5 linked regions of the Macaca fascicularis genome follow. Each later gene encodes a partner of the first gene's protein in a complex. Links are inferred from orthologs where the notes say so. Each region holds a gene or a part of one and is shown on either strand. Other genes may lie near its edges. The genes, in order: SMARCA5, DEK, MYBBP1A, RSF1 and SF3B1.

The links.
Region 2: SMARCA5 (region 1) and DEK share a complex: the UniProt entries of both Homo sapiens proteins name them as parts of the B-WICH complex. The link is inferred for Macaca fascicularis from reciprocal best matches to the Homo sapiens genes SMARCA5 and DEK.
Region 3: SMARCA5 (region 1) and MYBBP1A share a complex: the UniProt entries of both Homo sapiens proteins name them as parts of the B-WICH complex. The link is inferred for Macaca fascicularis from reciprocal best matches to the Homo sapiens genes SMARCA5 and MYBBP1A.
Region 4: SMARCA5 (region 1) and RSF1 share a complex: the UniProt entries of both Homo sapiens proteins name them as parts of the RSF-5 ISWI chromatin-remodeling complex. The link is inferred for Macaca fascicularis from reciprocal best matches to the Homo sapiens genes SMARCA5 and RSF1.
Region 5: SMARCA5 (region 1) and SF3B1 share a complex: the UniProt entries of both Homo sapiens proteins name them as parts of the B-WICH complex. The link is inferred for Macaca fascicularis from reciprocal best matches to the Homo sapiens genes SMARCA5 and SF3B1.

What each region holds. Positions count from the first base shown.
Region 1 is NC_088379.1:148,650,612-148,656,338, forward strand, and holds part of SMARCA5 (SWI/SNF-related matrix-associated actin-dependent regulator of chromatin subfamily A member 5), read left to right. Parts: intron 1-634; coding exon 635-767; intron 768-3,726; coding exon 3,727-3,875; intron 3,876-4,068; coding exon 4,069-4,188; intron 4,189-4,947; coding exon 4,948-5,058; intron 5,059-5,674; coding exon 5,675-5,727. UniProt on the Homo sapiens protein: ATPase that possesses intrinsic ATP-dependent nucleosome-remodeling activity.
Region 2 is NC_088378.1:154,654,601-154,660,327, forward strand, and holds part of DEK (protein DEK), read left to right. Parts: intron 1-1,119; coding exon 1,120-1,221; intron 1,222-1,467; coding exon 1,468-1,577; intron 1,578-2,897; coding exon 2,898-2,992; intron 2,993-3,500; coding exon 3,501-3,621; intron 3,622-5,727. UniProt on the Homo sapiens protein: Involved in chromatin organization.
Region 3 is NC_088390.1:4,637,746-4,643,472, forward strand, and holds part of MYBBP1A (myb-binding protein 1A), read right to left. Parts: coding exon 5,695-5,727; intron 5,594-5,694; coding exon 5,486-5,593; intron 4,006-5,485; coding exon 3,830-4,005; exon of another isoform or gene 3,819-3,829; intron 3,672-3,818; coding exon 3,504-3,671; intron 3,377-3,503; coding exon 3,259-3,376; intron 1,833-3,258; coding exon 1,537-1,832; intron 949-1,536; coding exon 838-948; intron 140-837; coding exon 14-139; intron 1-13. UniProt on the Homo sapiens protein: May activate or repress transcription via interactions with sequence specific DNA-binding proteins. Repression may be mediated at least in part by histone deacetylase activity (HDAC activity).
Region 4 is NC_088388.1:76,562,638-76,568,364, forward strand, and holds part of RSF1 (remodeling and spacing factor 1), read right to left. Parts: intron 3,741-5,727; coding exon 3,166-3,740; 3' UTR 1-3,165. UniProt on the Homo sapiens protein: Regulatory subunit of the ATP-dependent RSF-1 and RSF-5 ISWI chromatin-remodeling complexes, which form ordered nucleosome arrays on chromatin and facilitate access to DNA during DNA-templated processes such as DNA replication, transcription, and repair.
Region 5 is NC_088386.1:93,009,372-93,015,098, forward strand, and holds part of SF3B1 (splicing factor 3B subunit 1), read right to left. Parts: intron 5,702-5,727; coding exon 5,615-5,701; intron 5,489-5,614; coding exon 5,218-5,488; intron 4,801-5,217; coding exon 4,655-4,800; intron 4,560-4,654; coding exon 4,413-4,559; intron 3,865-4,412; coding exon 3,739-3,864; intron 3,226-3,738; coding exon 3,004-3,225; intron 2,723-3,003; coding exon 2,540-2,722; intron 2,455-2,539; coding exon 2,343-2,454; intron 1,324-2,342; exon of another isoform or gene 1,254-1,323; intron 867-1,253; coding exon 746-866; intron 403-745; coding exon 271-402; intron 1-270. UniProt on the Homo sapiens protein: Component of the 17S U2 SnRNP complex of the spliceosome, a large ribonucleoprotein complex that removes introns from transcribed pre-mRNAs.

The sequences.
Region 1 (5,727 bases):
TTCACCATGTTGGTCAGGCTGGTCTTGAACTCCTCACCTTCAGGTGATCCCCCCACCTCGGCCTTCGAAAGTGCTGGGATTACAGGAGTGAGCTACTGTGCCCAGCCCGTTAGTCACTTTCATCTTGTGCTCTTACTAAGGTTGACTGGGGAAAATTGTCCGATTATTAGAAATAAAGGAGTTTTTTAGGAATGTAGTTAGCAAAAGTGAAACAGAAATTCCTATTCAAACTAGTTTGACTACTTGTATTTAGTTAATTGGGTAATATTTAAAGATTAGAATTTTTATGTTTGATAAGTTCATTGTTTCATGTCACTTTTTTGCCTGATACAGTAACAATTTGGGTTTGATATAGATAGAAAAACATTTTGAATTTAAACCTAGGGAAAAAGACTTAAAATCTTTTCTCATCAGACTTAAAAATTATAATTTTGTATATTGTTTGGAGACATTGTGTGTGTTTTATCTCTGTAACCTAGCAGAATTCATCTGATTCTTACAGATTCATTGTTACTACAAATTTTTAAAAGTTTTATACTTCAGAATATTTTAATTTTGTTTCTCAATGTACCCATTTCAGTGTTATTTATGTGACTTTTAAACTCAATTCAAAATAACATGGTAATTTATTTAGGACCGAGCACATAGAATTGGACAGACCAAGACAGTCAGGGTGTTCCGCTTTATAACTGATAACACTGTAGAAGAAAGAATAGTAGAACGTGCTGAGATGAAACTCAGACTGGATTCAATAGTCATTCAACAAGGTAAGCCATGGAACTTTAAAACTTTACCAAGCTGGATTGACACAACCTGTTTTTGTTTGAACATCGTCTTAGAAGATTCTTGTTACTAAGCATCCATTGAGTCAAGCTTGCAGCCAGTAGAGATTACTTGTATTGCAAATACAGTAAACTTTAGTTTTGTCCTTAAGATTTATTTGGGCTCAGGACAATTGAGTTTTGAATAATGACTCTGCCAGTTAGCAGTTCTCTCTCGTTACATGAACCCATTTCCTCATCTGTTAAGTGGGGATAAAAATACACTTAAGGATTTTAAAGGATTAAAGGGGATAATGTATATAAGATATCTGATATTCAGTGTGGTGGTTAATGATTTATATGTACTAATTACTCTTGATTACTGTGGGGAATACTGAAGAAATAAAAATCAAAGAGCCTGATTTTATTCTTTTTTCTTGTCTGCAACTTATTGAGTACCCACCAGATGCTAGGCACTGTTCTTGGTGTTGAGAATTCAGTGGTAAATGGAACATTCAAGTATTCTTACTTTAAAAGAGTTTACAATTTAGTTGGGAGGGCAGATGAAGTAAACAAGGTATAAGTAGGAGTAGGGGGTGAGAGTGGGATTTTATTTTGAATCGATTGAAGGAAACTTAAGTTCTCATTCCAGATCAACTTTTAAGGATGACATAGTTTATGTTTTCATGAAACTTACTGTAAAGTTGATGATGGGAAATATAAAATTCAAGAAAAGGGGTGGGAAACTTAATAACTTCAAATGTTCATTAGTTTCCTTTGTAACTGCATTGTGAGCATATATTTACTATCTGTCTAAAAAGCTGAAAGGCATATTGTTACATTGTTTACTGATTATGTAGGTGTCTTGATTTTGTCAGTCTCTTATTTCCATGTAAGAGAGTATTTTTCATGTCTTTGGTATCCCTAATGCTATTGCATACCTAAAGACAATAAATTATTGCTTATTTTTACAAATTGTTTCCGTTAATAAAGTGTTTACTTTGTGCCAGGCAGTGTGAACATTTCATTTTCTCCTTTAGTCTTCATGCCAACTTGAGATGTTAGCATCAGAGGTAAAGGCTTTTGAGAGGTTAAATTACTTGTTCATTGTACATACAGCTGGGAAGTGACTCAAGGGGACCAAGAACTTTGTTAACTATTAAGTATTTAATTAGGAAGGCCTTTGGGGGCTTCTCGAGGCTACCAACCCATGAGGTTATCTCATGGGTGATAAAATGGCTAATGTTTTATTTTTCTTCACACATCTGTGTGTTTTGAAAAACACCTGCCATGTGCTTCTTGTTCTCAGTTATTTTCATCCATTAAACACTTTTTTTTGAGGTGGAGTTTTGCTCTTGTTACTCAGGCTGGAGTGCAATGGCACGATCTTGGCTCACTGCAACCTCCACTTCCTGGGTTCAAGCAATTCTCCTGCCTCAGCCTCCTGAGTAGCTGGGTTTACAGATGCCCACCACCAGTGGTGCTTGGCTAATTTTTTTGTATTTTTAGTAGAGACAGGGTTTCACTTTGTTGGCCAGGCTGGTCTCAAACTCCTGACCTCAGGTGATCCACCTCAGCCTCCCAAAGTGCTGGATTACAGGTGTGAGCCACCACGCCTGTCTGAAACACTTTTTTTTTAAAGATTAAAAAACCTTAATTGATTCATAAATTTAGAAATCTTGAGGTTTTTTACTTCATATTTACTGTGGCAATTTTTGGAGCAAACCTTCAGGCTAATAGCTTTCTTGTGCCATTTGTAGACATGTTAGTCAAACAGCAAGCCTTAAGTACATACCTCTGTGTTACTGTTTTTTATTTGAGGAACATAATTGAAAATGAGAGTACACAAGCACTTTACATCTGAAGGTTCCCTCTCTGCCCAACTTGGAAGTAGCTTGTATAAGCATGAGACCATTTTGGTAGCAATGGCAGCATCCAATCCAAAGAAACGTACTTTCTGGATATTGCCTCACTTTCAAAGTCACAGATGTTTGGTTGTATATTCTGTTATGGGCCCCAAACCATGATACAAGTATTTAAAGAAGTTGTTGAAAACTTGGATCTTTTTCCACTTAATTACAAGTTGGTTGGCGTATAAAAATCAAAGCTTTGTTTAGATGTATGTGAGTGACCCTTGAGGTGGGTGAAAACAAGTCTTTCTGGGTTTTTGTTTTTGTTTTTATGTCTGTATTTTTGAAAACACAAATTACAAGGTTGTCCAAATTCCTGCCAACTGAAAATCTTTAGTAATTTATTAATGATGAGTTTCTTTGATGATCCAGATACATTTTCTCACCAGGTGTGGTAGTGCATGCCTTTAGTCCTAGCTACTTGGGAAGCTGAGATAGGAGGATGGCTTGAGCAGGGAGTTGAAGGCTGCAGTGACTATGGTCCTGTCATTGCACTCCAGCCTAAGCAACAGAGCAAGACTGCATCTCAAAGAAATAAACAAATAAAATAAGTTTTTAGGAGTTCCAGTTCTTCTGGAAGTTTTCTTTAAAAAGAAACTGATGTTACATATTTCAGTTCTGTGTAAAGTTTGGCCTGTGGGAAGGATTTTTCACTTTTCTAAGGAGAAAAAGCTGATTTGAGGAGTATTAGTAATAACACCTTTCTGCTCATCAGAAACTTGTGTAATACATAATGCTTCCATCTGTTGAAACTTGTAGGTTTTTGAAAACTTCATCATATGCAGCTTTCACAAAAGATATTTCATTGACACAGTATACAGTAGGGTTCATTATATAATATATCAGCTTTAGGAATGTTTTGTAGCTTACCAACTGAAAATTTGGCATTAAATTTAGTGCAAAAATGAAAATTATCAGATGTGAATAAACAGTAAACAGAAATGATTGACATTTGAGACAGAATTATAAGGCATTAAACCTTACATTTAGAATTTCAAGTTTCCAGTAAAATAAAGTCTGTTCAGTTAACATTATACAACACAATCTTTTTTCAGGGAGGCTTGTGGATCAGAATCTGAACAAAATTGGGAAAGATGAAATGCTTCAAATGATTAGACATGGGGCAACACATGTGTTTGCTTCAAAGGAAAGTGAGATCACTGATGAAGATATTGATGGTATTTTGGAAAGAGGTGCAAAGAAGGTGAGATGTAGATTAAATAATGCTTTTAATATAGAATGTTTTAGACCAGAAACAGGAAATATTTGTTACATTGATAAATAATTTTATTTCCCTAACAAAAAAGCTTTTGTGTACCTGAAGTTAATTTATTTTGACTGCAGGTTTCATGCTTTCTTTGTTGTGAATCTAAGAAGTTGATTGTTTTGTTCTCTAGACTGCAGAGATGAATGAAAAGCTCTCCAAGATGGGCGAAAGCTCACTTAGAAACTTTACAATGGATACAGAGTCGAGTGTTTATAACTTCGAAGGAGAAGACTATAGGGAAAAACAAAAGGTAATTTAGAAATAGGTTTGGGTTACATGAAAGCTTTATTTTACTGGAAACCTGGAATTTTAAGTGTTACTGTAATGTCTTGTAATTTTGCTTAAAACAGCAGTCATTTTTGCTTATTCACATCTGAATATTTTCATCATTATGTAAAATTTAATGCCAGTTTTTCAGTTGGGAAGCTCTGAAATATTTTTAAAGTTTTTGTAATGAAGTTTGTGGTGTATGTTTACAGTGAAATATATTCTTGTATGAGATGAATAGTAATGTGGGATGGCAACCTGATTCATTTTATTTTAAACAGCAGAAGTGGCTGGTAATAAACGGAAAATTTTCCTAACTTCGTAAGTAATACTTGGTAATATAGAGATAAATTGAAAAATACCGATAGAGTATAAGAAAAAAATAATTCTACCCAATGTTTTTCGTGTTAACATTTAGGTCTATATCTTCAGAATTTTTTCTAGGCTAATTTGTGTCTACACTTTTCTCCTAGTTTAGATTTATACGAAACAGTCAGTAGCGTTTCTCCCTCATTTAACAGTTGTTCCTTTAAGCAAGAAATACTGAATGCTTACACTGTTGACTGGACACTGTCTCATGTGTTAATTATATACATAATATTGAGCAAAGTATCATATTCCCCACCCTCATAGCTTATAGCCTAGGATTTTGTGAATATCTTTCCATTTACAAACATCCTTCTTGATGATGATTTGTTACTGTGGAATAAGTCGGTGATCTGAGTTGTTTCCCATGTTCTAGATTGCATTCACAGAATGGATTGAACCACCTAAACGAGAAAGAAAAGCCAACTATGCTGTTGATGCATATTTCAGGGAAGCTCTTCGTGTTAGTGAACCTAAAGCACCCAAGGTGAGTTGACTGACACAGCATAAAAATATCTAAAAGTTTTGAAAATGTAATTTTTTTCTTATATTCTTTGGAAAAGATTGATAATTACATTTTGTGTTTCTTTTTTTTTTTGAGACAGAGTCTTGCTCTGTTACCAGGAGTGCAGTGGCGCAATCTCAACTCACTGCAACCCTCCACCTCCCGGGTTCAAGCAATTCTCCTTCCTCAGCCTCTTGAGTAGCTGGGACTACAGGCGCCCACCACCACCCCTGGCTAATTTTTGTAATTTTAGTAGCTATGGGGTTTTACCATGTTGGCCAGGATGGTCTTGATCTTTTGACCTCGTGATCTGCCTGCCTTGGCCTCCCAAAGTGTTGGGATTACAGGCGTGAGCCACCGCCTCTGGCCTACATTCTGTATTTCTTTGGAGTGTACTCCCTTCTGTTTTTAGTTATCATTTTTAAAAAATTAATTTTGAATCTGTGCATTTAAAATTAAGATATCAATTCAGTTTTATTGAAAGATGCATTCAGTTACTTGCAGAATTGGCTCTCATGGTTTCTGAAGTGAGGACTAAGAATACATTTAAAACAAAATTTCTTTTTTATGGATAACACTTATTTTTATTTTTCTTTAGGCTCCTCGACCTCCAAAACAACCCAACGTTCAGGATTTCCAGTTTTTTCCTCC
Region 2 (5,727 bases), on another chromosome or scaffold:
TGTGTCGCCCAGGCTGGAGTGCAGTGGCGTGATCTCAGCTCACTGCAAGCTCCGCCTCCTGGGTTCACACCATTCACCCCCCTCAGCCTCCTGAGTAGCTGGGACTACAGGCACCTGCCACCATGCCCGGCTAATTTTTTGTATTTTTTCGTAGAAGGGAGTTTACTGAGTTAGCCAAGATGGTCTCGATCGCCTGACCGAGTTAGCCAGGATGGTCTTGATCTCCTTACCTTGTGATCCGCCCACCTTGGCCTCCCAAAGTGCTGGGATTACAGGCGTGAGCCACCGTACCTGGTCTTGTTTTTTTCCTTCCTTTTTTTTTTTAATGGAGGTAGGGTCTCAATATGTTGCCCAGGCTGGTCTCAAACTCTTGGGCTCAAGCTATCCTCCTGCCTTGGCTTCCCAAAGTGTTAGCATTATTGGCGTGAGCCACTGCACCCAGCCGTAGATTTTTGTGTGTTTTTTTTTCCCCTTTCTCGACTAAACAATTTAACTTTTTTCAGAGTGATTTATGGCCATCATTATGAATGTTATTCTAAACTACAAAGTAATGCCCTCCCAGTTGATTGCATTAGATGTAAACTTGGAGAGTTTTATCTTATCCAGGTACTTCAGGCTGTTCTGCCTGGAGGTCTTTATTTGTGTCTCTTTTGTCAGTTGACTAAATTATTAGTATTCTCTGTATGTCTTTTGAAGTTCATAATCTCTCAGTTCTAAATTTGATTATTTCTGAAGTACAGCAAACTGAATCACAGTTATTAAATAGAATTATGTCCAAAGATTAAACAGAGCTAGATTTATTTCACAAACGAAGTGACTGGACTGTAATGGCAATAATTTTAGTTGGATAAAAATTAGTTTGCTTTCTAATTTTTTTTTTTTTTTAACTGAGTCCCTGTGAGTTTGCCAGGTGAGTAAAATGTTAGTCTGAAAAAATTTTCGTGGTGCTCTATTAACTAATCAAGTGTTGTCATCTTTTATGTTATTTGCTTTCCAAAACCATGCCCAGAGGAAGAATAAAGTGTTAGGTTTTGGGACTTTGTTCTACATGTTTATCTAATAAAGTTAATACAATGTTTAAGCTTTTTGTTAATTAAGAAATACTAAATTAATTTCCAGAAAAGAGTCTCATCGTGGAAGGCAAGAGGGAAAAGAAGAAAGTAGAGAGGCTGACAATGCAAGTCTCTTCCTTACAGAGAGAGCCATTTACAATTGCACAAGGTGAGTTTCTTCTAGCTTTCTTTGATTTTGTGGTGAAAGTGTCTAAATTTGTGAAAATGATGGTTTGTAGCTTAGTATCAGCAGAGTAGTGTTTTATACTTTAGTTATAATTTTATTTAATTTGCTTTGTAAGAGCAAAGTTACATGTAAATTATGCTGTGAAAATAATTCCTATTAAATTAACTTTGTAAAATGTATTAGTAAGCCATGGGTATTTAATTGTGATTTTTTTTTTTTTTTTTCTAGGAAAGGGGCAGAAACTTTGTGAAATTGAGAGGATACATTTTTTTCTAAGTAAGAAGAAAACCGATGAACTTAGAAATCTACACAAACTGCTTTACAACAGGCCAGGCACTGTAAGACTTTTTTACACTTTAAACCTACTTGTATATTACTTCACAATGGAATCAGTTTCTGTAAATGTTAGTGATCCACTAGTTCAATTTCCACACTTTATGACTGAGCAGACTGAGATATATATTTATTAAATGATTTATCACAGGAAATATAGCTGAATATTAGCAGTTGGATTATAATATCCAGGGCTCTCTCCCTTTTTTTTCTTTTTTTTTTTAAGACATGGTCTCACTCTGTCACCCAGGCTGGAGTGCAGTGTGCAATACATGACTCGCTGCAGCCTCAACCTCCTGGGCTCAAGTGTTCCTCTCACTTAAGCCTCCCAAGTAGCTGGGACCACAGGTGTATGCCACCATATCATGTCTGGCTAATTTTACTTTTTGTAGAGGTGGGGTTTTGCCATGTTGCCCAGGCTGGTCTTGAACTCTGGAGCTCAAGCAGTCCTCCCACCTTGGCCTCCCAAAGTGTTGGGATTACAGGTGTGAGCCAGTATGCCCAGCTCTAGGGCTCTTTCTCCTGTAGTAGTATTTATTCCAAACTGAAATTTCAAATTATGAAATCCAAATTATGATGGTTTTAGTGACCTTTAAATGTATTGAAAGAAATTCATGTTTTTGGATTTTCTGGTCATTCAGAATAAGTGATTTGGTATAATTGTATCACATTTTTAGCAAATACCTGATAAATTGGATGATAGTTTTTTGCTAAAGGATTATTATACTGTACATAAAACTTAGTATTTTATATAATTGAGGAAACTGCTTTAGGTTGTACATGGGCAAAGTAAAGTTGGGTGTTAGAATGCCTGAAGTAGAATAGAATGTCTGATGCATGACATAATTTATTTTCACGTCTGTTAATCTCATTTAATCCTTAAACCAATCTAATTTACATAAGTCCCATAACTAGTAAACAGTATTAACTATAAAGTCCTTGATTTGGAAAAGAAGAATTACTAGTAACTTTATTACTTATGAAAAGGATATCTTTTTAAGTAGTAATTTTCCACATCCTCTGGTACTGTCAGATAACTTTTGATTGTGGTAAAAATTCCCCAGTGAAAATTTGTTCAAATCGTTATTTTCAGAGACTTAAGTTTGTAGGATTTTTATAATGTTATTATGTTAGTAACATATTTTTCAGTTTTGAACAAGAAATGTTGAATGTTGAACCCGTATTGAATTGGTTGACTGTTGAGCCAGTATTGTAAGTTACAGATAGATATGAAAATAAAGATGTTGGCTTTGAATTCTCTTTGAATTTATTCTTGTGTATATTACTGGGTAGTAAATAGCGTTAATAATAAGGAACATTTTCAGGTGTCCTCATTAAAGAAGAATGTGGGTCAGTTCAGTGGCTTTCCGTTTGAAAAAGGAAGTGTCCAGTATAAAAAGAAGGAAGAAATGTTGAAAAAGTGAGTTATTTTTATAAATACTATATTTTAATCAATATGCTTTAAGTTTATTTTTTAATGTTAAAAAAATCACATTTGGGCCAGGCACAGTGGCACACACCTGTAATCCCAGCACTTTGGGAGGCTGAGGCGGGTGTATCACCTGAGGTCGGGAGTTGGCGACCAGCCTGACCAACATGGAGAAACCCTGTCTCTACTAAAAACACAAAATTAGCTGGCCGTGGTGGCACATGCCTGGAATCCCAGCTACTTGGGAGGCTGAGGCAGGAGAATCGCTTGAACCTGGGAGGCAGAGGCTGCGGTGAGCCGAGATTGGGCCATTGCACTCCAGCCTGGGCAACAAGAGCGAAACTCTGTCTCCAAAAGAAAGAAAGATTCAGAGAAGCATTGGCCACTTTTTAAAATGTATGTAAGTCAGCTAATTTGGTTGGCTTTCCCTTTATATTGTGGAGAACATTTGTAAGCTTTCCTATATTAACACCTTGGTTTCTTCCATTTTCTGTTTCAGATTTAGAAATGCCATGTTAAAGAGCATCTGTGAGGTTCTTGATTTGGAGAGATCAGGTGTAAATAGTGAACTAGTGAAGAGGATCTTGAATTTCTTAATGCATCCAAAGCCCTCTGGCAAAGTGAGGATCAATTTTTACTTTTTTCATAAGAAATCAGTTATTCATAGCCTCTTTTTTATACGAAACAAAAATTGATTAATAACAGCATTGCTGTCAGTATTTATTAATATCTACATTCAAAGAATATAACTTCTGTTGTTGTATCTGCAATAATTTCCTGATAGAAATAATACAGATGCCATAGGGATGTGTTGCTTCAGAAAATCAGATACAAGGGAATAAGGTTAAGAATAGTGAATTAATGTCAGAAGGGACAGAAAGTACTAGTAGTCAGGGTTAGGTATCTAGAAGATACTGGAAGAATGAATAGAGGTTGGGCTGAGGATGAGGTGCAAGGCTGGAGGGAAGGGGTGCAATCTATAATCAAGTGAAGACAAAATGGGGAGTATATTAGAACTGGATGTTTTCCTGGATCCTGGAATGAATTATTTAAAAGTGACATTTAAAAGCTCTTACAAGTTTCCTGTATTGGGTTTCCAGAATCCGCAGCAGAGCCCAGGAGCCGGAGAGGGAAGTAAAATGGCCTTATAGTTTTCTCACTCTTCCTAAAAGCTAGTCGATTTGCCCTAATTATTTAATGGTAACAAACAACATAGGTGACTTAAAATGTCTGTTGAAGTGTTATATGACCTTGTATTTTTAGTGTGATTTAGGTCTGTCAGCAAATGTTTTTCTATTCTTCCCGATCTTGACAGGAAAGGAGGTGTGAAGAGAGCGAGCAGGTCTAGGAGTTCAGGGGAATGCCATCTCGGATGGGAGAGGGCATTAAAGAATCAAAACCAGAAAATAGCTCTGGGACTTTGTTTTGGTCTGCCCTTGGTCCTTATTACCATTAGCTGCACGAGGACAGATAGAGAGCACTTAAGGTGTTAACTTTGGTTATACAACTACAAACACAAGGTGTATGATGATTTTTGGTGTTTTAAATTGGCTTATTGAAAGACGACAAAATACTTTTTTTTCCCTAACTTTTACTGTAGCTATACTTGTACTTTTTAAGGATTTAGTGTGAGGCAAGGTGATCACTATTTCCTCAGAAGCAGTTACTAAGTTGTTATGATGGATATTTTTATATTTATCTTTTTCTCAGTGGTTTTCCAATTTATTGGTTTCAGAATACTATTACTCTCTTAAAAAATTAGTGAGGACCCCAAGAGCTTTTTTTAAAATATGGGTTATTTTGATCTTCACTGTATTTGACATTAGAACTGAAAATTTTTATTTTAAAATGTTAAAAATAGTATTTTTTATGAAAAATAACTTTTCAAAAGAATTAAAGAGTGGCATTATTTTATGTTTTTGTACATCCGTTTAATATCTGGCTTAAGAGAAAACAGCTTAATTACCATTTGCTTCTGTATTCAGTCTTTTTTTATTGTTGTTTTGAGACAGATTCTCACTCTGTTGCCCAGGCTAGAGTACAGTGGCACAATCTCTGCTCACTGCAACCTCTGTCTCCCAGGTTCAAGCAGTTCTTCTGCCTCAGTCTCTACAGTAGCTGGGATTATAGGCATGTGCCACCATACCTGGCTAATTTTTGTATTTTTAATAGAGATAGAGTTTTGCCATGTTGGCCAGGCTGGTCAGGCTGAACTCCTGACCTCAGGTGATCCGCCCACCTCGGCCTCCCAAAGTGCTGGGATTAGAGGCATGAGCTCCCGCGCCTAGCCACATTCAGTCTTTTGCAGTATATTGTTTTGCTTAAAATTTATGAAGGGCCTGATGGAGTAGCTTATGCCTGTAATCCCTGCCCTTTGGGAGGCCGAGGCAGGTGGATCACTTGAGCTCAGGAGTTCAAGACCAGCCTGGGTGACAGAGTGAGACTGTCTCACGAAGAAATTAGCCAGGCACTGAGGCACACTCCTGTAGTCCCAGCCACTTGGGAGGCTGAGGTGGAAGCCCGAACTCAGGAGGTCAGTGCTGCAGTGAGCTATATTCATGCCACTGCATTGCATCCTAGGTGACAGGACGAAATCCTGTCTCAAAATATAATAAGTGTATGAAGAAAACCGAGCCTCACATAAAAAGAATATTTTTAAAGTCCTTTTAGATAATTGTGTGTATTCTCTTTTTGATACCACACAATACGAAAACTACGTAAGTTGT
Region 3 (5,727 bases), on another chromosome or scaffold:
GCCTGAGACTCACCTGAAGAAGGCACTGCTGGCCGCCTCTCGGGCCTGGCTTTCCAAAGGGAAGGAGAACGGCTGCTTTGTCTCGGGGATCTGGGATGTGGGCTTCTTTGTGACAAAGAACGCGTGGAACAAACAAAACCTGGGGAGGGCGGGAGAGCGGCCATCACCATTCACTGCCATTGGTTTTACAGGCTCCCCTCCTTGGATGGCACCACCGAGCGTACGAGGCCAGGAGGACGAGGGGGAGCCCTTCTGCTCTGGGCACAGTCCTCAGGGGTCTGACGGGCAAGGCTGGAGGTGGCTGGGCTGGGCTGGGCTAGGATGGGAAGGGGCCGTTTCTCTGGTCTGGATCCCCAGCTGAACGCGGCTTAACCCGAGCTGGAGAGAGAGAATCAGTGCCCCTCCCAAGAAACCAAGAGATGGGAGGCTGTGTGGTCATGGCCAAGTCACGTCACTGCTCCGGCAGACATGGGGCCAGTGCAGCCCCCTCTTGCAACCGTGAATGTTGAGGGTGATTCGAGCACCCGGCTCTGCACAGGCACAGCCGAGGCAGGTGTGGGCAGAGGCTTCCCTCACAGCTCCCACGTGCAAAAGCTGCCTGCAGGGCGCGCAGAGCACACCTGAACCTTTTAGGCCCCTGCAGCTGGGATGCCTCCTGGGCCCCTTCCCTTCACGGGTTCCTAAGGAATTCCCAAGTCCCCTTGCGCCTGTTCCCCACTGATGACTCAACCCAAAGGCTTCTGGCTCCAGGGGATGCAAACTAGGATGAGTTAAGGGGCCCCATTCCTTGGCCACACGCCCATGGGAAGCTGGGGCTCCAGCACATCTCGTACGTACCTGGCCACCTGTGCAGTCAAGGCCTCCTCCATCTCCAGGTGCAGGCTGTCCACAATGCTCACCAATCGAAAGATGATCCATTTCCTCAGCCGGAACACAGCTCGCTCAGGCCTAGCAGGGCAGGAGGTGAGGTCATGTGAGCCACTTAGAACTGGCAAAAACAGGCTGGGCCCAGTGGCTCACACCTGCAATCCCAGTACTTTGGGAGACCAAGGCAGGTGGATCACTTGAGGTCAGGAGTTCGAGACCAGCCTGGCCAATATGGTGAAACCTCACCTCCACTAAAAATAGAAAAATTAGCTGGGTGTGGTGGCGGGTGCCTGTAGTCCCAGCTACCGGAGAGGCTGTGGCAGAGAATCGCTTGATCACTTGAACCTGGGAGGCAGAAATTGCAGTGAGCTGAGATCACCTGCCACTGCATACCAGCTTGGGCCACACAGTGAGACTCTGTCTCAGAAGAACTGGCAAAAACAGGACATTCCTTTGCCTGATCTCAGGAAGCCAAGATCTCCCCATCCCAATCACCAGTGTGCGACCACACAAGCACACGGAAGCCTCACATGAGAGCTCAGGCTCTTCCCTTCTCTCCTCTCACGGTTTAGAGCCAGGACACTGTGGAGGGAGGGCTCGGGTTGCTGGGCTCTGCAGGCCTAGGAAGCTAACTCCTAAGTTAGGGGTCCTTCCCCAAGGTCCACTCACACGTGGAGCGACGCGTCCTGGGCTTTCTTCTGGTTGTTGGTGCTGAAGTCAACCAAGGAGTCCAGGTCTGGCTGGAGAAACATGTCCTGCAGCCAGGCCACATAGCCCCGCAGGGCCGGAGGGCTCAGGAACCGCACGACCCGCCAGAAAGTAGGCGCAACAGGGAGGCCTTGGTTGGTGACGGATGAGAAGGCCACTAGCACGGCCAGCTGCCGCTCAGGGTCATCCTGGCACCCCTCTAGGAAGGTGCCCACATAATCCTCCATCTCTGGGGCAAACTTGAACTGCTTTGGGAGCTGCAAGAAGTTAGGCATGGAGCTGAGCCCACCAGCCCAGGGGGCAGGCGGTCAATAACCCAACAATCCACCAGGCTTGCACCCGCTACGGGTTAAACCAAGGCCCGGAAACCTCGCGTCGTACACAGCTAGGCTGAGCCTGAACTTGCAACAGTTCCGTCACCCCAGTGCTTTTGTCTGGCATCAAGGCCTCTCTGGGTCTGACTGCCCCAGCTTCACCACCTCCGGCCCCAGAAGGCCCCTCTTTCTGCCTTGCTGGATGGGGATGGTCTGTTTTCTGGCTCCATGCAGGGCAGGGTGGTAGTTGAGGCGAGACTGACCTGGGTTCAAAGCCCATGCTGCTAATTCCTAGCTGTGTCATCTTCAGGACCAAAAACCACCACCTCCCATGCACTTCCTCAGCGCCAGGACCCACACCCCACGTTTTTGTGTGGCAGCTTAGCATTTTAGCAACCCTTTGCAGTCAGCCAATATTATCATTGTGTAGGTGAATAAAGGGAGACACAAAAACACCTAGAAAGAACGTCTCAGGGTCAGAGGCTCCCAGTGGGTAATGTCTGGCTTCACGGCCCAAGCTGTTTTCCTTTTAGATTTTTTAGAATTATGTCCCCAGAGTGTGGTGCCACGATCATGGCTCACTGATCCTCCCACCTCAGCCTCCTGAGTAACTGGGACTCCAGGTGTGCACCACCGTCCAACCCAAACTCTTAACCACTGCCTGATACTTCAAGTCTGCCCCCTCACCCAGAATGACAGCTCTCTGAAACTCGTTGCAAAGATAAAATGAGCTGGTGAGAACAGTAAACCCAGCAGCACTTACTGGGCATCAGGCTCACTGGTGCCCAAACACGGTCATGACGACTGTTCTCATCACTGCAGCATGGGTTGGAGCGGTGGAGGTCTGAACAGCCCACTGGCTATCCACGCCCATGAGGGGCCTGCTGGCAGAAGGGCCTGACCTTACAAAACCGTCAGAGGGAAGCCGAGCGCAGTGGCTCACGTCTGTAATCCCAGCACTTTGGGAGGCCAAGGCGGGTGGATCACCTAAGGTCAGGAGTTCAAGACCAGCCTGGCCAACATGGCAAAACCCCGTCTCTACTGCAAATACAAATATTAGCTGGGCGTGGTAGTGGGCACCTGTAATTCCAGCTACTCAGGAGGCTGAGTCAGGAGAATCGCTTGAACCTGGGGGGTGGAGGTTGCAGTGAGCCCAGATCACACCACTGTACTCCAGCCTGGCCAACAAGAGCGAAACTCCAACTCAAAAAATCAAATCTGTCCGAGGGGAAGGGGTTCAGGCAGCTCACTACCCAGACAGAGGGGACACCCGTGGCCAAGCCCCCGAGGTGCCCTGCTCCCCTTCTTGGCAGGGAGAGCTCCCTGTCTAGCCTTTCTGGCAGTGTCGAGCTGCACGGGCGTTACCCACCTTCGCAGTGCACACGTGCTCCCCATAATGGCGGATCACGTCTCCCCGCAACACCAGCTGCAGCTGCTCCTTGGTCAGCAGGGGCAGGGCTGCGCCCAGCAGGCGGAAACACAGGTAGCTAAGGGGGTGCGGGACAGAGCCTGATCAGAGCCCTTGGGACCCCTGGCGGGGACCTCAGGACTGGTGGCCCAGCCCCACTTCACAGACAGGGAAGGGGGCCGAGAGAGGACACGCCCCGCGAGCACCTGGCTGGCCAGAACTGCATCTTCAGCAACCCTTGTTCCACCACCTCCTTCCAGAACCGTGGGAACTTGTCTTCCTTGAGCGCTAGGCGGAGCAGGTCCAGAGCAATGGCGGGCAGCTTGCGGTCCTTCTTCACGGAGGCGGCGGCCATCTTCAGCACGTTCACCAGCCTGCGGAGAGCAAGGGACTGAGGGAACACTCGCCTCACGGGCAAGGGCCAGGGTGCCAAGAGCAGCCGGGACACCCCCAGGCCACATGGCAAACCTGGGCCTGGCCAGATGCAGTCCCACAGCCCCAGGGAGGGCAAATCCGCCCACCTCCGTCACACCTGGGAACATTCTCATCCGAGAATAGGTTCACGGATCCCACCAGCTTCTTGAGCTTGGAGGGCACCTTCTGCTGGGCCAGGAGGAAGAGCTCCAGCTGTTCGGGGGAGCTGAGTATTGCATTCAAGTCGGCTTTAAGGACCTCTGGCAGGATCTCCTGCAATGTAGCCACTGAGACCTAAGGATGGAGAGATAAAGAGATGGTGGCTTCCTCTGCGGGATGAGCCCGGTGGATCCTGCTCTACCTGCCAGGCTCCTGACACAGGGCCACCTGGTGAGGCACCAGAGTCATCAGAGGGTATTTGCTAACAAAACTCAAATTCCCAGGCAGCTGGGTTTTTGACAAGCATCCCACTGATGCTAACTGGCCCAGAGGTAGCTGCTTTTTTTGAGACAGAGTCTCGCTTTGCTGCCCAGGTTGAGTGCAGTGGTGTGATCTTGGCTTACTGCAACCTCTGCCTCCCAGGTTCAAGCAATTCTCTTGCTTCAGCTGGGATTAAAGGTGTGCACCATCACACTGAGCTAATTTTTGTACTTTTAGTAGAAACAGGGTTTCACCATGTTGGCCAGGCTGGTCTCGAACTCCTGACCTCAAGTGATCCACCCACCTTGGCCTCCCAAAGTTCTGGGATTATAGGCGTGGGCCACTGTGCCCAGTCAGAGCTACCCTTTTAATTATTCCTTTTTTTTTTTTTTTAGTATTTCAGAGGACTAGCTCATTTCACACACAAGGAGCCCTGGGTGGAGAGCTGGGATTCAAATTCAGGTCCTTCCGGCTCTGAGGTCAAGACTGCACAGTAAGCCCCGGCCTGGGACCTGCCAGCCCCTGCCTTTCTCTTCAGTGGCAAAAGGGCCTAGGTGCTACCTTCCCAAGTCGGGCAGTGGAGGCCCACGAGGGGCCAGCCTTGACTAGGATAACAAGGCAAACGTTTTATATATTTGTGACGCGCCAGGCACAGTTCTGGAGTTGCACTGCCCAATACAGTAGTCACAGCCACACGGGGCTGCTGAGCGCTTCAAAGGTGGCCAATCTGAACAGGGATGTGCCTAAGTGTAAAATACACACTGGATTCTGGAGACTACCTGACAAAAAGTGTGTAAGAGGCTGGGACCGGTGGCTCACGCCTGTAATGCCAGTACTTTGGGAGGCCGAGATGGGCGGATCACAAGGTCAGGAGATCGAGACCATCCTGGCTAACACGGTGAAACCCCATCTCTACTAAAAAACAAAAAAAATTAGCTGGGTGAGGTGGCAGGCGCCTGTAGTCCCAGCTACTCGGGAGGCTGAGGCAGGAGAATGGTGTGAACCCGGGAGGCGGAGCTTGCAGTGAGCTGAGATCGTGCCACTGCACTCCAGCCTGGGTGACAGAGCGAGACTCCGTCTCAAAAAAAAAAAAAAAAAAAAGCATGTAAGATACCTCAACGGTTTTTTATACCAATGCATACTGCAGTAATATTTTAGATATACCAGACGAAGTAAAATGTTACTAAATGACACCTGTTTCTTTTTACCTTTTCGACTAAGTCACTGAAACACTTCAAATTATACATCTCTGTATTTCTATGGAACAATGCTGTTCCAGACTCTCATCCAAGCCCCGATGATGTCTCTGTAACGGGAAGCGCTGGCCGAGCCCGCACAGCGGGTGAGCTCGTACCTCGGAGAGGACGTCCAGCAGGGCCTTCCCGGGCTGCTCCTGCAAGTGGTTCTGGTACTGGGCCAGGGCCTGCAGCAGCTTCACGGACTTCATCAGGGCCTCCTGGTCCTGGTCCCCACGGAACGACAGAGGGTATGAACAGGGCACACTACTGTCCCCTACCCATTCCAAGTCAGCCTACATTCCCCCAGCCCCTCCAAAGCTCTTACCTTCACCAGCCGGCCTGACTGAAAGAGGGCGAG
Region 4 (5,727 bases), on another chromosome or scaffold:
CAGTTCAAAGTTTCTGCTTTGTGAAAAGCTGACTAGTTTTCAGACCTTTACAGAAATTGCAAACTAAATATACTGAATATTAATCTACATCTCCCTTTAATACATTTGCTACAGTCTAGAGTTTGGGAGTCCAGCTTGTATTTCAAAAAGGGGGGATTAAATTATTAAAGGGCTCTATTATGTAGCAGCTATTGAGTCTAAATCCATGGTTAGTGCTCTAAAAAAGATCCAAGACTGTCTAAACTCTAGATCAATTACTGCTTTCCTATACTTTCTGCAGTTCGTAGGGACTGTATTGTCTTTGTATACAGAACATTTCGTTTTCTAAATTTTTTTTTTAACTTCTTCAGGATACCTTCAGAGTGTACTTCAGTGATCATAAACTCTTTGAGGGACTGAATTTGAACTCCAAGCAGCAGAACTGTTTTTGCACTGCTCAAAATTTAATAATCAATAATCAATCTGCATAATAATGTTTTATCAACTGTTTGGATTACATTCTTGGTAGATGACCTATAGTTAATTGATTTAATCAAAATATAAGGTGAGAAGGGGTACATTCACTATCAAGTTGACAAACATTTACTCAAGTTTGGTAAACATCAGGCAGCACAAGTGGTCTCCAAACCCATGTCAGTGGGACATTTGCTAAATGGAATACTCAGCCTTTGCGATGGTAAAAATTACCTTAGGCTTTCTATAGAAGAAGAGTAAAAATAACTCCTTATTTCACATTAGGCATCCTGTTAAAATTATCTACCCATTTAATACTACTTCTGATCACTGGCTTAACTGAGGAATAGAACTAATAGGTGGAAGGAGGAGCTGGTGTGTCCAGAGGTAGAGACAGGGCACATGGGAGAGTTTCCACACAATAGTGGCTTTACCCAGTTGCAGGACTAAAATGGTGGGGTAAGACTGGGTGGCAGGAAAGGGCACCTGTACATTCAAACCACTTACCTTGCACTGGTAGAAATCTTTATATTGCTGGCCTGTTTTAGATAGTTTAAAAGGTTAATTCTTAGCTGACTTGCAAATAAATAAAACAAACCTAGCTGGAAAGGAGACTGTAAGTGAATGCAGCTCCTTCCACAGTCCTGCTTTACCGTCTGTGAATGTAAGCCCTTCCTTCCCTTCCAGTGGAACACTGTCTCAAAATAAAAATCACAACTTACTTGGAACCACACGCTATTGGTGCATCCTATTTTTAGGCTGCTTTCATTATTTTATTTTTTTACAGATACATACACATTGCTAGAATCAAAGCAAAAATATTAATGGGCAGGTACTACAGAACTAAAGTGAAACAAAACAAAACAACAAACAACTGAAAAACAACAGCTATAAACTTTCAAGGCCAAAAGATAAGATTTAAGGGCAATACCTGTTGAAGAAGGAAAAGGAGTATAAAGTTCCTAGAGAGGTATTTATAATGCAAATCTAATGCCAGCTTTTTAGTAATAAAAAAGAGAAGTGCTTTACTATATACTGACTAGCACATAATATTTAATTTGGAAAGAAAAATTAATGACGTTCCTTGGGCCAGCAGCAGATATGGTGTGTCCATTGCCGGCAACAGACACAACACTGGAACAGAAAAACCCAAATCCCAGGGCAAAAGTATTCACAGAAGTAATGGTTGAAGGTTTCAGGATTTAACAGGCTAGGTTTAATCACAAGTGCTACACTCTGTACAATGTTATGGCTCTGCCTGAAGTTTTACAGCTATAACAGAAACTAAATAAGACAAAGTTCATATTTTAGTGTCAATTACATGTTAGGTATTTAGTTAGTTAAAAACCCTTTCTTTTTTTAAATAAAGGGCTTTTCTTTAAAGTGTTGAGATGTTTGAAATGGATGTCATGCCTATTAATTACATCGGCAGTTCTCATTCAACTCTATGTTGGTTGTATGACTATTAATGAATTTTAATAGAAGTCTAACGGCCAAAGGCCAAAACTACATTCAAACTCTGCTAATATATCCAGGCAGATAGGAAATTCCAACACACACACATACGCACACGCACACACACACATACGCACACATGCTAAAACTCAAACTAAAAACCTCCCAAAGGAACTGCTTTGTTTGTAGACTTCAATTTGAAGTAGATACTAAGGGCAAGAATAGACCAGTTAAAATTCACCTGAAAATCTCTTCCCAGTCTTCAAATGTGCTAAAATATCACTGTCAGCTTAGCATCTCTTCATGTATGTTATATATAGATGTATTTTTTTCAAAATGATATTTCAGATATTTAAACATCAAGTGGCCAGAAGACAAGAGTTATACTATTGGCAAAGTTTACGATCCACCCAGGCCTTAACAAAGACCACATCCATTTCGCTAATAACCCTCCATCAGACATAATATATTTGAGGCCACCTTATTACCACTGCATAAAGCTATTTAAAAAAATGTGTTGCTAGCACAGTCTGGTTGGCAAAGCTTCATTATACATTTTACTGTACAAATGCTTTTCAGATGATTTTATTTTTTTAAAACAAGAAACTCTGCTATAACAGAAATTTAGGTTAATTATGATGGTACTTTCACTGTCTCTTCTTTATTAAGTGTGGTTATCTCCAATAGTAAACAAGTTGATTTCACAAAGGCTGTTACTAAATGACTTATGTATGATGTTATCTACAATTCTCAAACTGTAACAGTACAGACTTGAACTTTTAAATTGTCTGTAAATCATCATCTATGCCATGAATGTTTAAATATAATATATATTTAATATGAAAAAGCTAAAGCACAAGTGCTTTCTCCCACCCCTAAATTCTGTTTTGGGCCCTCACAGATTCGGAATGCATTCTCATCCACCCTTTTTCACAAAGTCAGGAGAGCTCAGGAAATATAAAGTCAAAAATATACAAATCTTTGTTGTTATTATAATAAGATTTTTTTCCATGAATGAAATTACCAAGGACCATGAACCTGGAAAAAGAAAATCAAAAGGAATTTACAGCAATTATTTGTCTTCAAAGTTCAAAACTGGTCACTTCACAGAAAGACTTCAGGATTTGTTGAAATTTTTCTTCTAAAAAGTCATTCTGTAGTGGAGTTTTCTAGGAAAAATTAAACAGCTTTTAATAACTGGCCCGCTGGTGTGAGAGCTACCGTGGAATAAATTAGCACAAAAATGGAAAAAAAGTCTTATAACTGTTCACTGTTACAGACGTAATCAACAAGGTCAGTCACTCTCAAAAGCTCATCTTCCTCCTCTTCTGGTGCTCCTGCCTCCTGCCCACCACTTGTCCCATTGGAGGCGAGGCTTGCACTGGCTGTGCTGTTGTCCTTGGGGGTCTGAGACTTCTCAGTAGGCTTGCCAATCAAGTTCTCAATGGCTTTGCCAGGACTCTGTCCATTGGTTGAAGGTAAGTCCACTAAGCTATAGTCCAATGGGCTCCCCACTTTGCCTACATTTTCAAAGTCCTCTTCCTCATCACTTTCTATCCGGTAGGGCTTCTTGGTGCTCTCTTGTTCTGAGGGCAGGACCCTAGGCTGGCTGTCATGGGCAGGCTGATTTGCATCTCCATGAGCATTGTCACAACTCTCCTCCTCATCCGTCTCAATCCGGTGTAGCCGTTTGCGGGATGGTTTGCCTTCCTCTTCCTCCTCCTCCTCATCTGCTTCTGAATACTCATCTGTGCTTCGGCCCCGCTTTCGAACTGACCGCTTTGATTCTTTAGCTAGCTCGTCATCTTCAGAGTTCTTGGACAAATAGCTCTCTAGAATAAACAGCACATTTAAGCCATTGGCATGGGTAACCATAAACGAATTTAATTCTTCTTTTCCTCCCCATATTCACCACGTCCTGCTTTCAGAATTGCTTGTACATAAAAATGTCCTTTCAATAATTGGCCTGATTTCTCTCCTCAGCCCCATAACAGTGCCCAATATGATTCATGGTATACTTTATTTATGATTTTAGAGAATATTTTCTTTTTTTTTTTGAGACCAAGTCTCACACTGTCACCCAGGCTAGAGTACAATGGTGTGATCTTGGCTCACTGCAACCTCCACCTCCCGGGTTCAAGCCATTCTCCTGCCTCAGCCTCCCGAGTAGCTGGGATTACAGGTGCCTGCCACCACACCAGGCTAACTTTTTGTATTTTTAGTAGAGACGGGGTTTCACTATGTTAGCCAGGCTGGTCTCGAACTCCTGACTTTGTGATCCATCTGCCTTGGCTTCCCAAAGTACTGGGATTACAGGCGTGAGCCACCGCACCTGGTCTACTTTATTTTTTGAGACGGAGTCTCACTCTGTCTCCCAGGCTGGAGCATAGTGGCGCAAACTCGGCTGACTGCAACCTCTGCCTCCCAGGTTCCAGCAATTCTCCTGCCTCAGCCTCCCGAGGAGCTGTGATTACAGGCGTATGTGCTGCCACACCCAGCTAATTTCTTTACATTTTTAGTAGAGACGGGGTTTCACCATGTTGGCCAGACTGGTCTCGAACTCCTGGCCTCAAGTGATCTGCCCACCTTGGCCTCCCAAAGTGCTGGGATTACAGGTGTGAGCCACTGTGCCTGGCCAACAGCAAATTTCTTGGGGAAGATGTCTGATAATGCTTGAATTAAATGAAGATAGGTTAGTTACAAACTAAGAAACTCCTTCCCACTAGTACACAAATTAGGTTATCATGTCAACATGCTGATAAGGAAAGATTTAAACTGGACACCCAACTCTGTACCTCTTAAACACTGTGCCAATTCTCATCTTAGTTATCAGACACCCTTGGTAGTCTTAATTGTCTTCTCTTCTTTGTCTATACAGTTGGGCCTCCCTATCCATGAATTTAACCAACTGCAGATGGAAAATATTCAGGAAAAAAATAGATGGTAGTGTCTGAACTGAACATACATAGACTTTTTTCTTGTCATTCACTAAACAATACAGTATAACAATTATATAGCATTTACATTGTATCAGGTATTTTAAATATTCTAGAGATTAAAGTATATGGAGGATATGGGTAGGTTATATGCAAATATGACACCATTTTATATGAGGGACTTATAAATCCAAGGATTTTGGTATCTGCGGGGATCCTGAAACCAATCCCCAATGGATACTGAAGATGACTCTACTTCCATTTTAGAAGAGCTCACCTAGTCTCACAACTTGGCATGCCATCTATATGCTAACGGCTTTCATATTTATTTTAGGCAACCACTGAATTCCAGCCTAGTGTATCAAACTGCCTACTTGACATCTAGGCTTGGGTATCTCTAAGCAGGCATTTCAAATGACGTGTCTCAAACTGGGCTCCTAAATTTTCTCCTTAATCCTGCAGCACTGTGGTCTCTACCATCTTAGTTTTTCACAATTGCTCCTCCAATTTCTCAGTCATCCTTGATTATTTTCTTTCTCTCACCCAACCCAACAGTAAATCCTTTCGGTCTCACTTTAAAACATACCCCTAATGTGACTGCTTTTGCCTCTTTACTGCTACTGACCCAGTTCTACCCTCCATCATCTCTCACCTGGACTATTACAATAACTTCCCAATGGGTCTTCTAGCTTCTGCCCTGGCCCCCTTCAATCTATTCATAACACAGCTACCACAGCAAATTAAAACCTAAGTCAGATCACATCACTCCTTTGCTCAAAATGTGGGATGGTTTGCTTTCCTCTTCCTCTTCCTCCTCATCTGCTTCTCAATACTCATCTGTGCTTTGGCCCAAATGTTTCTCACCTCACACGAAATAAAAATC
Region 5 (5,727 bases), on another chromosome or scaffold:
GGAGGTGGTGGTGGGTGCAGTGAGCTGAAATCAAATCACTGCATTCCAGCCTGGGTGACAGAGCAAGACTCCGTCTCAAAAAAAAAAAAAACACACAAATTGAATTTAAGAATACATTCCAAAAATCAGAAGGTCAATGGTTAAATGAAGAGCTTTCTCAACTCCATTATTCAGACCATGCCTCAAAAGAGATTTCTACATGAAGTATTTTTCAACACCACAACGAATTTATTATAATTTTTTTTTTTAATGGAAGTAAGTGACACTCACCCAATGGCCTTTGCAATATAACCAAATGTGTTGACTGTGGCTCTACGAATAGCCTTTTTGTGGGCTTTTAAGAGCTCTAAAAGCTCAAAGCAAATCCTCATCCACTCTCTTGCAGACACATATTCAGCTCCCCTAATTTAAAAAATACACATATTATTTGTGACATTAGGAAAAGTTTTAAGGATAAATTTGCAAATTCAGTTCTAAAAACATGATTGTTAACTCATTTTAAGCATTAAATAAGAGTTATTCCTCTTCAGAAAGGCTGAAGAGTTAGTCTTACAGGTTTAGTCCTAAAATTACATGGCCTCCCCATTACCATCCAAATTGAAATTTGACTGAAAATATTAATACTAGACAGCCTAATCATATACACTTATATTAGTGACATTAAGAAAATTTTGCTAATTGAATACAAAGTGGCCAAATTTGAAAATTGATACTGCTTATAAAAATGTGTGGGTAATCTGCTTACCTGTCAGCAATACGCCCAACAAGATCAATACAATTCTCTTGTACTTTTTCATGTCTGTTCTTTAAGATGGGGGTGAGTCTAGGCAGCAGATCTTTAATTGGTGGAGTCATCTTATGCATACCTATTTAATAGAAGTCAATAAACTATCAACATCTGAATTGCAACTTTTGTTCACTTTCCTTTTACTTAGCAACGTTATATATGACTATGCATAAATATAAACTTACAGCTGCCTATGGAAAGAGAAAGCCGCGGATTCTGACCAGACTCAGAATCGTTTTTAACTTTTATTAACAATTTTTGATTATGTATAGAAATGAAAGAAATCAGTGAAGTGATTTAAAGAATGATGGATACTCAATAACAAAAAAGTTTTGTTTGGTTCTGAAATGTATTTGTGCACTGACATTTAAATATGGGGACAGCTTATGTTCCGGCCGTACACAACAATATAAGCCAGAGGTAAACAAGTAAATAAAGCAAAAATTTCCAGAAAGGGCCCCCTTACCCTTTAACTGCAAAACAAACAGATCTCCAGTCTCCCTGCAATGCAGGGCATACTTGGATGGTATTTACACCTATGAAGAGAGAAAAAAGGAGGCAGCTGGCAGGGGCTCTTGCTCTAACTAGAATCACTTGCTCTGATTCTCTCTCCATTGCTCTTCCCATGCCTCTCTGACAAACAATATGGTTTAAAACTCCCTGCAAACCAGAGACCTACAAGTGCCCATGTAAATGATTTTTGGCAAGTGGCTATCTTCAAGTAGAGCACTGGGCTGCATTGGAGATTATATGCAAATACAATAGTTTAAAAATGTATATTGCATAAATACCTCTTACAAAATAAGAAAAAACAGTGGCTCTCTCACAGTCAGCCATTTTGACTTCTGCTAGGTTATCAGAGCCTCTAAACTCTGCAGGAGTTACATTTGGCAACAGTTATAATCAATTTAAAAAAAAGATTAAATACAAGAAACCATTTGTTTTCTTTGTCATACTGCCCTAACAGAATAAAAACTTTGCTCTCCATATCCAAGACCATTTGTAATATAGCTGTGTTTTGGGTTAGAAAACTGAATGGACAGTATTGAAAACTTGAGTATGTAAATAAAGACAATAATTTGATCAGTTCACTTTTCTGATTATATTCCTTGAAACTGATGGCAAGTAAAAAACCTGTCATAATCACTAATTCAAGGTTTAAATATACACATATAGTTCTAAAACTGAATTAAAACTTTAGGTTTGCCTTTTCCCCCTCGCAGCAGAACATGGCAGAATATATTTCACCTGAAACACTATTTCTACTAGGGTCCTGTATTCCAAGACTTCAAAGCTTTTTGAGCTGTGACTACTCCCACCTCTCCTGTAGGTCCTAAACTTGCCCTTTTTTTCTCTTTAAAGTAAAATATAAATGGGTTTTGGGAAACAAAACTTTTGTGACATCCCCCGACTTAACTACAATATTGAAGTGCTTTTAAAAAAGTAACAAAAACCTCCCAAATCCTAAATAAGACTTTACTTACAAAAAAAAAAAAAAAAAAAGGAAAGAAAATTAAAACAAGAAAAAGTCTTATGTAACCAGCAGATTTCATACCTATGACATTTACAATGGCCTTCAGTGCTCCGAGAATGCTGCCCAATACTTCAGGGTACTCTTCACCCAAATACTCATACAACACAACACCCAAGTGTCCCATCAATTTTTCCTATAATAAAACAAAGAATGTTAAAATGTTACTATTTACATTAAACTATTTGGTGAAGAAATAATAATTTGAAAAAGAAGTTTACCTCTTGACAAGTCTTCATGACAACAGCAGTTCGAGAAATCAAGTCAGCTGCCTGCTGCCTAACTTTTGCAGATTTGTTATTTAAACGCCACAAAACAGTACCACAGATCTGAGGCAAGTATGGTTTGACTCGTTTGCCAAGAGCATTAACCACTGTGCCAAAGCCGTTCAACATTACTGAGTCCTAAAAAATAAATTTTAAAAAAAGACACATTCATTTGGTTTATGACTGCACAGTTGAAATATACTAATAGTCAACCTTTTCTAACCACCCAAACATCTGTGGTTGTTTTTTTACATCAAATCTTAAAACTTGAGGTAGAATAACATTTTTTGGTAACCGAGTGAGCATATTAAAAATTACTTCAAATTCAATTGCATTCTAGAAAAATTTGCTTGACAACTAATACGTTTTTCTACAAATATTAAAGTCAGTAGCAATGTGCCATAATTAGTTATCATTACCTCTGTAGTCTGTTCTTGGAAAGCATAAAGAATACCATCAATCAGTTGTTCTTCAAGTTTATGATCAATATCTGCTGCTCCCAAATTGCCCATAATTTTCTCAATTGTCTCCATCACCATTTTTCTGTACTGTTCAGCTTCATCTTTCAGATCATCCACAATCCTGGATATAATTTCTGCTGCACCTACTTTGTTTGCCAACTCCACAGTAGTATCAACTAACTAAAAAGAACAGAAAAAAAAACGTTTTAGACTGCTTTTCCAAGGACATAAAATATCATGAAAACCAAATACTCTAAATACACTATTTAGCTAATGAACATGATAAGAATGATTCACTGCTATTTATTAAAGTTGAAGAGAAAAGTGACCAAACATAGAAAAATGAGTGTAAGTTAACATGATTCAAGGTAAAACTGTGTCCATGTTTCATCTAGCCAGATAAAGCACTGAATTCACCACACAAAAACATCAATTCACAGTTGAGTATTAATCCTTGAATCCAAAATCAAAATGGAAGTTAACTGGCTGACTAAAATCCATCTCCTCACAGTTGAGTATTAATCCTTGAATCCAAAATCAAAATGGAAGTTAGCTGACTAAAATCCATCTCCTTTCATAATCAAGCACATATAAACTGTGAGATAATTAAGGTAAAAAATAATATGCATTCAAGTCGACTAAAGAATAAGTCAAAAGGATTTTTGAGAATATTCTTTTAAAATAAAAGCTTACCTGTCGGTAATTTCTTCTATCCAAAGCCATCCTGTGCTGCCAGAAGTGTTTAAAAAAGGGAGGAAGAATCTCTGTTTTAATGTAGTTTGCTTCTACACCATCTGTCCCACAACACTGTTTTACCACCTAAAAGGTTAAAAAATAGTAATAATAAATCAACTGACTTGAAATGAACAGACTACTCATTGCTGATTACGTAATTTTAAAAAATAAAATTTAAAAACAAATGAAACAGTACTGGTGTAACATACAGTTTTTTTGTTGTTTTTAAAAAACACTTTAAAATTATCTTAGAACCGGCCGGGCGCGGTGGCTCAAGCCTGTAATCCCAGCACTTTGGGAGGCCGAGGCGGGTGGATCACGAGGTCAGGAGATCGAGACCATCCTGGCTAACATGGTGAAACCCCGGTCTCTACTAAAAATACAAAAAGAAATTAGCCGGGCGTGGTGGCGGGCGCCTGTAGTCCCAGCTACTCCGGAGGCTGAGGCAGGAGAATGGCGTGAACCCGGGAGGCGGAGCTTGCAGTGAGCCGAGATCGCGCCACTGCACTCCAGTCTGGGCGACAGAGCGAGACTCCGTCTCAAAAAAAAAACAAAAAAAAAAAAAACAAAAAAAAATTATCTTAGAACCATGAAACAAATCCAGTTTACATTAACAAATCTGGAATAATTACCTTCAGCACAATCTTCTTCATTTCCTCATCAGGAGATTGGAATTCTCGAATAAGGATTAACATCACTTCTCTAGTATAGTAGTTGGCATATTCTGCATCCATAAGAGGAATAAGATACCCAATAGCCTTCAAGAAAGCAGCCAAACCCTATTTTTAAATAAAAATATATGTACTTTAGTAATTTAGATTTATGTCACCTTAACTTTAATGAAGATAAATCAAAAGGTAATTGGTGGATTTACCTTTCCTCTGTGTTGGCGGATACCCTTCCATAAAGGCTTTAACACAGAATCAAAAGATTCGATACCATAAGGAGTTGCTGCTTCAGCCAAGGCAGCAATGGCCAAAGCACTGATGGTCCGAACTTTCTGCTGCTCATCCACAAGACCTACAAAACCAAACACAGGTTTTAACTATGCCCCAACATTACCTAAGTCACACAATGTCATCCAGATTCTCACAATATATCAACTATTTAGCCAAACTACAGAATACGTTCACATTAAAATTAGGTAAAAGCAAAATATGAACCATAGCCTGTTAGCAGATAATATTACAAACCCATCATAAAATCTATAGTTTGTACAGTTATGCCTTTCCATTTATCTCCCCAAATCAGTAGCCCAAATTTTAGGACAGCTGTCTATTAAAAGTAGACAGGCTGTGTGTGTACTTCTAGTCCCAACTACTCAGAAGGCTGAGCAGGAGGATCACTTGAGCCCAAAAGTTTGAGTCCAGTCTGGGCAACATAGTAAGACCCTGTCTCTTAAAGAGAAAAAAAAAAAAAAGTTACATTACAACTTACCATGTTCAATGATTTCAACTAAACTTCTAAGATGTGGCAAGATGGCACAGCCCATAAGAATAGCTATCTGTTGTACAATCTTAATACCAGTGTGTCTCGCTTGCCAGGACTTCTTGCTTTTGCACACAGCTTTTAAGAAAGGCAATAAAGAAGGAATGCCCAGGGCAGAGGCTACAACAGCAAAAGCTCTAGCTGTTGTGTTACGGACATACTCATCCATGTTATCTATATCAGGTCTCATGGTAGAGATCATAGTAGCCAGACCAGCAGCCTAAAAAGTAAACAAAGAAAGGACAGTCATGAGTTGGTAATATTAATCTTCAACCATTTCCTTCCATAATCAAATAATTCCATAAACAGAAATAAATTGTCTTCTCTAGAAATTAAATGTAAATACCTTTGCCAAATTAGAAATGATCTCTCGGCCTTCCACTCTAGCATAGTAATCTTCATCAATCAATAGTGGTTCAATGACCACAAGGATCTGAAAAAGAGAAAAAAGAGAAGCAG